Xenopus tropicalis: one gene and its partner. The protein of the gene in region 2 interacts with the protein of the main gene of each other region in a pairwise test. Links are inferred from orthologs where the notes say so. Each region holds a gene or a part of one and is shown on either strand. Other genes may lie near its edges. The genes, in order: parva and mocos.

Evidence for each region.
Region 1: the proteins of mocos (region 2) and parva interact in binary tests that used the Homo sapiens proteins (3 or more experiments, as listed by UniProt). The two-hybrid records come from large-scale screens. The link is inferred for Xenopus tropicalis from reciprocal best matches to the Homo sapiens genes MOCOS and PARVA.

The regions. Positions count from the first base shown.
Region 1 is NC_030680.2:6,440,774-6,445,097, reverse strand, and holds the start of parva (alpha-parvin), read right to left. Parts: upstream 3,008-4,324; 5' UTR 2,948-3,007; coding exon 2,812-2,947; intron 1-2,811. UniProt on the Homo sapiens protein: Plays a role in sarcomere organization and in smooth muscle cell contraction. Required for normal development of the embryonic cardiovascular system, and for normal septation of the heart outflow tract.
Region 2 is NC_030682.2:74,579,808-74,584,158, reverse strand, and holds the start of mocos (molybdenum cofactor sulfurase), read right to left. Parts: upstream 2,996-4,351; 5' UTR 2,909-2,995; coding exon 2,761-2,908; intron 1-2,760. UniProt on the Homo sapiens protein: Sulfurates the molybdenum cofactor. Sulfation of molybdenum is essential for xanthine dehydrogenase (XDH) and aldehyde oxidase (ADO) enzymes in which molybdenum cofactor is liganded by 1 oxygen and 1 sulfur atom in active form.

The DNA of each region.
Region 1 (4,324 bases), on a different chromosome or scaffold from region 2:
TATTATAAGGGATAATGGACCCCCTACTGTAAATGATAAGGATATTAGCAGTCACTAAGGGGTTCTGTGCCCCCCATATAAAGGCACAAGGCTGCAGGCTGAGTTATACAGGGAACTCTGAGTATCACTCATGTATTATAAGGGATAATGTACCCCCTACTGTAAATGATAAGGATATTAGCAGTCACTGAGGGGTTCTGTGCCCATATAAAGGCACAAGGCAGAAGGATGAGTACTTATATACAGGTCATGGAACCTGTTTATACAATATATATTTTCATTTTATACTGTACTGTCCAAAGGAACATAATGTATAATGTATAAATACAAATATACAGAGAAGGAATGTTCTGGGCACACAATAAGCTGTACCCCCATACTGTACTGTCTAAGGGAAACACTATGGCACCCCCTACCCATATGTATAAATACAAATATACAGAGAAGGAATGTTCTGGGCACACAATAAGCTGTACCCCCATACTGTACTGTCTAAGGGAAACACTATGGCACCTCCTACCCATATGTATAAATACAAATATACAGAGAAGGAATGTTCTGGGCACACAATAAACTGTACCCCCATACCCAGGGGGCAGCAGGCAGGGAACAGGGGGTAACAGGCAGGGAACAGGGGGGCAAAGGGGGTAACAGGCAGGGCACAGGGGGTAACAGGCAGGGCACAGGGGGTATAAGGCAGGGCACAGGGGGTATAAGGCAGGGCACAGGGGGTAACAGGCAGGGAACAGGGGGGCACAGGGGGTAACAGGCAGGGCAGCAGGGGGGCACAGGGGGTAACAGGCAGGGCACAGGGGTAACAGGCAGGGCACAGGGGGTAACAGGCAGGGCACAGGGGTAACAGGCAGGGCACAGGGGGTAACAGGCAGGGCCACAGGGGTAACAGCAGGGCAAGGGGAAGGCAGGGCCAGGGGTACAGGCAGGGCTCAGGGGTAACAGGCAGGGCACAGGGGGTAACAGGCAGGGCACAGGGGTAACAGGCAGGGCACAGGGGTAACAGGCAGGGCACAGGGGTAACAGGCAGGGCACAGGGGTAACAGGCCAGGGCGTACAGGGGTAACAGGCAGGGCTCAGGGGTAACAGGCAGGGCACAGGGGGTAACAGGCAGGGCAGCAGGGGGTAACAGGCAGGGCACAGGGGGTAACAGGCAGGGCACAGGGGTAACAGGGGGAACAGGCAGGGAACAGGGGGTAACAGGCAGGGAACAGGGGGTAATAGGCAGGGCACAGGGGTAACAGGCAGGGCACAGGGGTAACAGGCAGGGCACAGGGGGGCACAGGGGTAACAGGCAGGGCACAGGGGTAACAGGCAGGGCACAGGGGGTAACAGGCAGGGCACAGGGGGCACAGGGTAACAGGCAGGGCACAGGGGTAACAGGCAGGGCACAGGGGGTAACAGGCAGGGCACAGGGGGTAACAGGCAGGGCCAGGGTACAGGCAGGGCACAGGGGGTAACAGGCAGGGCACAGGGGTAACAGGCAGGGCACAGGGGGTAACAGGCAGGGCAGCAGGGGTAAAGGCAGGGCCAGGGGGGCACAGGGGTAACAGGCAGGGCACAGGGGGGCACAGGGGTAACAGGCAGGGCACAGGGGTAACAGGCAGGGCACAGGGGGTAACAGGCAGGGCACAGGGGTAACAGGCAGGGCACAGGGGTAACAGGCAGGGCACAGGGGGTAACAGGCAGGGCACAGGGGGGACAGGGGTAACAGGCAAAGCACAGGGGTAACAGGCAGGGCACAGGGGTAAACAGCAGGGCACAGGGGTAACAGGCAGGGCACAGGGGTAACAGGCAGGGCACAGGGTAACAGGCAGGGCACAGGGGTAACAGGCAGGGCACAGGGGTAACAGGCAGGGCACAGGGGTAACAGGCAGGGCACAGGGGGTAACAGGGGTAACAGGCAGGTAACAGGCAGGCACAGGGGTAACAGGCAGGGCACAGGGGTAACAGGCAGGGCACAGGGGGGCACAGGGGTAACAGGCAGGGCCACAGGGGTAACAGGCAGGGCACAGGGGTAACAGGCAGGGCACAGGGGGGCACAGGGGTAACAGGCAGGGCACAGGGGTAACAGGCAGGGCACAGGGGTAACAGGCAGGGCACAGGGGGTAACAGGCAGGGCACAGGGGTCAACAGGCAGGGCACAGGGGTAACAGCAGGGCACAGGGGTAAACAGCAGGGCACAGGGGTAACAGGCAGGGCACAGGGGGTAACAGGCAGGGCACAGGGGGTAACAGGCAGGGCACAGGGGGTACAGGCAGGGCACAGGGGTAACAGGCAGGCCACAGGGGTAACAGGCAGGGCACAGGGGGTAACAGGCAGGGCACAGGGGGTAACAGGCAGGGCACAGGGGGTAACAGGCAGGGCACAGGGGGTAACAGGCAGGGCACAGGGGGTAACAGGCAGGGCACAGGGTAAACAGGCAGGGCACAGGGGGTAACAGGCAGGGCACAGGGGGTAACAGGCAGGGCACAGGGGTAACAGGCAGGGCACAGGGGTAACAGGCAGGGCACAGGGGTAACAGGCAGGGCACAGGGGTAACACCACACTGTATATAGGGTATTTCAGGCCCAGATGCAGATCCCGGGCAGGAATAGGCAGGACGGGCGGGTGGGTCGGTGCCTAAAGCTCTGGGGACACAGTCCGGCCCCGCGGTACATTGGGCCGATATATTGGGCCCCCGGGGGCCCCCATACTGTGTGGGCGGAGCTACAGAGAGCGCTAAGGAATGCAGCGCAGAACGTGTTGCCCCGGGGGTGCCCCCACCCACTGCCCCAATAGCCCCACCCAGTCACTTACCCTCTTTGGCCTTCTTTCTCCGGGCCAGGGTGCCCCCCAACTTGCCCAGGAACGAGTCATCTTTCTTCCGGGAGGGGGGAGACTTCGGGGTGGGGGATTTCGGGCTGGAAGGAGACTTTTGGGGGGACGTTGCCATGGCTGGGAGAGGCGCAGAGCGGCACAGCGGGGCGGGGCGGGGAGAGGCGCAGAGCGGCACAGCGGGGCGGGGCGGGGGCGTCACAGCGGGGCGGGGCGGGGGGGGGGCGTCACAGCAGGGCGGGGCTGGGATGTCACAGCGGGGCGGGGCTGGGCCTGGGGCGCAACCGGAATCCTCTCAGGCGGGATCCGCCCCTCTGTCTGCTCCCGGCACCTCTCCTGGCACAGTTACCCCAGCCTCACTCAGTTACCCCAGCCTCACTCAGTTACCCCAGCCTCACTCAGTTACCCCAGCCTCACTCAGTTACCCCAGCCTCACTCAGTTACCCCAGCCTCACTCAGTTACCCCAGCCTCACTCAGTTACCCCAGCCTCACTCAGTTACCCCAGCCTCACTCAGTTACCCCAGCCTCACTCAGTTACCCCAGCCTTACCCAGTTACCCCAGCCTCACTCAGTTACCCCAGCCTCACTCAGTTATCCCAGCCTTACCCAGTTACCCCAGCCTCACTCAGTTACCCCAGCCTCACTCAGTTATCCCAGCCTTACCCAGTTACCCCAGCCTCACTCAGTTACCCCAGCCTCACTCAGTTATAAATTTTCCCCCCAGCCTTACCCAGTTACCCCAGCCTCACTCAGTTACCCCAGCCTCACTCAGTTACCCCAGCCTCACTCAGTTACCCCAGCCTCACTCAGTTACCCCAGCCTCACTCAGTTACCCCAGCCTTACCCAGTTACCCCAGCCTCACTCAGTTACCCCAGCCTCACTCAGTTATCCCAGCCTTACCCAGTTACCCCAGCCTCACTCAGTTACCCCAGCCTCACTCAGTTACCAGCCTCACCCAGTTACCCAGCCTCACTCAGTTACCCAGGCCCACTCAGTTACCCCAGCCTCACTCAGTTACCCCAGCCTCACTCAGTTACCCCAGCCTCACTCAGTTACCCCAGCCTCACTCAGTTATCCCAGCCTTACCCAGTTACCCCAGCCTCACTCAGTTACCCCAGCCTCACTCAGTTATCCCAGCCTTACCCAGTTACCCCACCTCACTCAGTTACCCCAGCCTCACTCAGTTACCCCAGCCTCACTCAGTTACCCCAGCCTCACTCATACCCCAGCCTCACTCAGTTACCCCAGCCTCACTCAGTTATCCCAGCCTTACCCAGTTACCCCAGCCTCACTCAGTTACCCCAGCCTCACTCAGTTATCCCAGCCTTACCCAGTTACCCCAGCCTCACTCAGTTACCCCAGCCTCACTCAGTTACCCCAGCCTCACTCAGTTATCCCAGCCTTACCCAGTTACCCCAGCCTCACTCAGTTACCCCAGCCTCACTCAGTTATCCCAGCCTTACCCAGTTACCCCAGCCTCACTCAGTTACCCC
Region 2 (4,351 bases):
TACCTACCCCTAGTAGCAGCCCTGCTGTTTTGATTCTCATCTGCCTGTATTTGGCACATTTGCTTTCAGGAATGCTAATCTAATCCTTCATGCTGAAATTAACACAACATAATTTGTATAGTTCTGCTGTAATGTAAAATACATACCTCCCAACATTTGAAAAATGAAGAGAGGGACAAAAAGATTTGGTGCGCGCGCAGCGCGGCAAATTTTTTGACCACGCCCACTTTTGTGGCCACGCCCCAATTACCACACCCCATTTTTAAAAAAAATACTCCTTTTATATAGATGAAATGGCGGGATCAGACGCAAATGTGCTATACCCTCATACTGTACTACCTAAGGAAAACAATACAGCAACTCCTACATATAAAATATAGGGAGAAGGCAGTCAGTTATAAGTGAGTTATAACTATGTACCAGTTTTGCCCCCCATACACAGGTGCCCCCCCACACATTAGCACCCCCATACACAGGTGCCCCCCCATACAGAGTAGCCCCCCCCATACACAGGTGCCCCCCATACAGAGTAGCCCCCCATACAGAGTAGCCCCCCCATACACAGGTGCCCCCCATACAGAGTAGCCCCCCCATACACAGGTGCCCCCCATACAGAGTAGCCCCCCCCATACACAGGTGCCCCCCCATACACAGGTGCCCCCCATACAGAGTAGCCCCCCCATACACAGGTGCCCCCCATACACAGTAGCCCCCCCATACACAGGTGCCCCCCATACACAGTAGCCCCCCCATACACAGGTGCCCCCCATACAGAGTAGCCCCCCATACACAGTAGCCCCCCCATACACAGGTGCCCCCCATACAGAGTAGCCCCCCATACAGAGTAGCCCCCCATACAGAGTAGCCCCCCATACACAGGTGCCCCCCATACAGAGTAGCCCCCCATACACAGGTGCCCCCCATACAGAGTAGCCCCCCCCATACACAGGTGCCCCCCATACAGAGTAGCCCCCCCATACAGAGTAGCCCCCCATACACAGTAGCCCCCCCATACACAGGTGCCCCCCATACAGAGTAGCCCCCCATACAGAGTAGCCCCCCATACAGAGTAGCCCCCCATACACAGGTGCCCCCCATACAGAGTAGCCCCCCCCATACACAGGTGCCCCCCATACAGAGTAGCCCCCCCCATACACAGGTGCCCCCCATACAGAGTAGCCCCCCCATACACAGGTGCCCCCCATACAGAGTAGCCCCCCATACACAGGTGCCCCCCCCATACACAGGTGCCCCCCATACAGAGTAGCCCCCCCATACACAGGTGCCCCCCATACAGAGTAGCCCCCCCATACACAGGTGCCCCCCATACAGAGTAGCCCCCCCATACACAGGTGCCCCCCATACAGAGTAGCCCCCCCCATACACAGGTGCCCCCCATACAGAGTAGCCCCCCCCATACACAGGTGCCCCCCATACAGAGTAGCCCCCCCATACACAGGTGCCCCCCATACAGAGTAGCCCCCCATACACAGGTGCCCCCCATACAGAGTAGCCCCTCCCACACACAGGTGCCCCCCATACAGAGTAGTCCCCCCATACACAGGTGCCCCCCCCATACAGAGTAGCCCCCCATACACAGGTGCCCCCTATACACAGGTGCCCCCCATACAGAGTAGCCCCCCTATACACAGTAGCCCCCCCCACACAGTGCCCCCCATACACATTAGCACCCCCCCACACAGTGCCTCCATACATTCTGCTGCCGAAGCTTCTTCTTCAGCATCTCCTCTATATGCGGCTCCTTGTTCGGCAGAGCCAGGCCCTTTTATAAGGTTGCGCCCGTGCGTGCGTCTGACGTCAATACGCACGGGCGCAACCTTATAAAAGGCCTGGCTCCGCCGAACAAGGAGCCGCATATAGAGGAGACGCTGAAGAAGAGGAACTGAACGCCTGACTACAGCCAGCGCGTCCCACTGTCGGGATAGTTACACGAATGTCCCGCATTACGGAAATGTACAATTTCAGCTCAACCTATTTTCTTGCGTGCAGTTGGGTACCAATTTATGCAAAAGAACATAGTTTTATCCCAACACTTGTCCTTGTCCACACATGTTTACATAACCAGTAAAGCAGGGATGTGGTCACTTATTAACTATATAACTGAAAAGTTAGCAGTTAAAAGGTAAAAGATGTCTAAAATGACCTTTACTATTTCCACTAAACACCTAGCAACACTTGAAAAATTATTCCCATTAATATGCATTCTATTTAAAGATAAACAAAATCCATTACAGTTATAAAAAAAATAAAAAAAATCTAAATAAATATGACGCATTCTTTAAACTGAAGTCAAAAGCATATTTGAACGTTTATGGGTTTCTCCTGCACTAACAGGTTACAGATACACACAGCTGTGTTGAGAAGCCACGCCCACTCCAGGAACGCTGCGTATTCTTTCCATGCTTCCTACTTTGCTTGTTCTGTTTCATAAGGCCCTGTCTGTCATGTGACACAAGTTACACACGCTTTTCAGCTGCTCACATCTCCCAAAAAGGAAGCTATCAATAAACAGTTTAAAAGTATTTGTTTCGCGTGTGCGTGTTGTCAAGTGCTGTGGATTTCTTTTTGAGTGCATGGGATAGCTATATAATATGTACCCAGTTTATGCATGACACACAAAGTGCAACTCCTACTTACCATAAAGGATCTCTGCTGTGGTATACTTCCCCTGGAACATAACACATCAGCTGTATTCATATGTTCATGAGTTTGCTGCAAGTTAACACCTATCGAACATACCTCCAATTCTGCTGAATTCCTTTCTTCTCATATCCTCTATAGTGTTCCCATAGCCATAGTCGGAAGGGCTCCTGCAGAAAGTCTGAAAGTGCTTTGCAGACAGCAGCTCGTCCAGAGACATGCCTGAAATACTGAGATTCACATTCATAGCCAGCTTCAAGCGTAGCTCTGTTAAAAAGTAGCAAAAGTGTCAGCATAGTAATGACCCAGAAACGGAAGCCACTCCTTAGTGGGAGGAGCCTTCTCCTGTCAGCCTTATTTTACTTTCCCTGGTGACTATGGGAAATATCACACTAAGGATTTGTATTCCCACCCCAACTCTAATAGGACAGGTTCCAAAAAAACACCAGCAATTACATTTCATAACTGCTTGTGTATACACCCTCTTCCCCACTCCACTCTTTTTTCCTGTCCTTGCTATTTGGTAGGATCAGGTACTTGTGTAAATGGCTTTCTTTGCTCAAAATACTTTCTCTTTTATGGCAGTGCTGTCCAACTTGTATGGTACCAAGGGCTGGGATTTTTCTGGCCTACATACTGGAGGGACGATAATGGAAGCCAGTTTTGACCACACCCCTTTTTTAAACTGTGCCCACTTAAACCACACCCTTGTTATCACAAGAGCTTTTAACACTATACCCACATTAACGGTGGTAAGCACAGCAAAATCCCAAATGGTTAGTTCTCACTGCAGGGATATCACCCTTCATTTATACGTGAAAGAAGTTTATTATGTCATATTAAGACATACCCTTAAATCCATAAGCCTTCACTTGTGGATAGCACAGCTCCCCTAGCACATACTTACACACCTTAGGGATAATTTAATGACTATTTCCAAATGATAACAAACTCCCAGAAAAATTCCCTGCCAGATTCAACTCCCACAAGCAGCACAGGGCAAGCAGAGTATGGCACACACAAGCAGCATAGGGTAAGCAGTATGTAACACTTGTTTGGCTAGGATATGGCAAAACCCAGACTAGTAATAGGTATAGAGCATGTGTTACATGCGACCTTAATACACAGGGGTGGGCCTCCGCTAAGTGGCCCCATCTGTGAATTGGTCACAATGGAGAGTAGCAGATGTGACACTCAAGGAACAGTATAACCCACTTGGAGACTGTGCAGAGTATTAGTTGGATACCTGAGATGAAGACCTTTAGAGTAGGGAATGTTTCCAGCCGACTATGGTCCAGGGGCACAGCACCTGCCTGAATCCTGCGTCTAAACCGGTCCCTTCAGAAAGACAACAGAGCCGGGGTAGGCTAAACCCTTTTACAAACTCTTTGATGGGGCTAATAACTGCCCTTTCTAAATAGGCTAACTGTGCTCACCACTTCTAGAGGGTGCTATTACATAGAACTGACTGTGCTGGCTTTCTCTCGTTCACGGGGCCCTGTCCCCGACTTAATATAAAGATGGTTCTCTTTACTGGGGCCTTATGCCTCCAGGCTCAATGGTGTGACGCCTGAGACAACAGCAGCCAGAGAGAAAGACACTCCTCCTTACAAGACACTATATAGTCTGCACAATGGTGAGCAGTGCTATTCTAGTTTTAGCTGCACGGTTGGTGTTGGTTCCAGTTCCT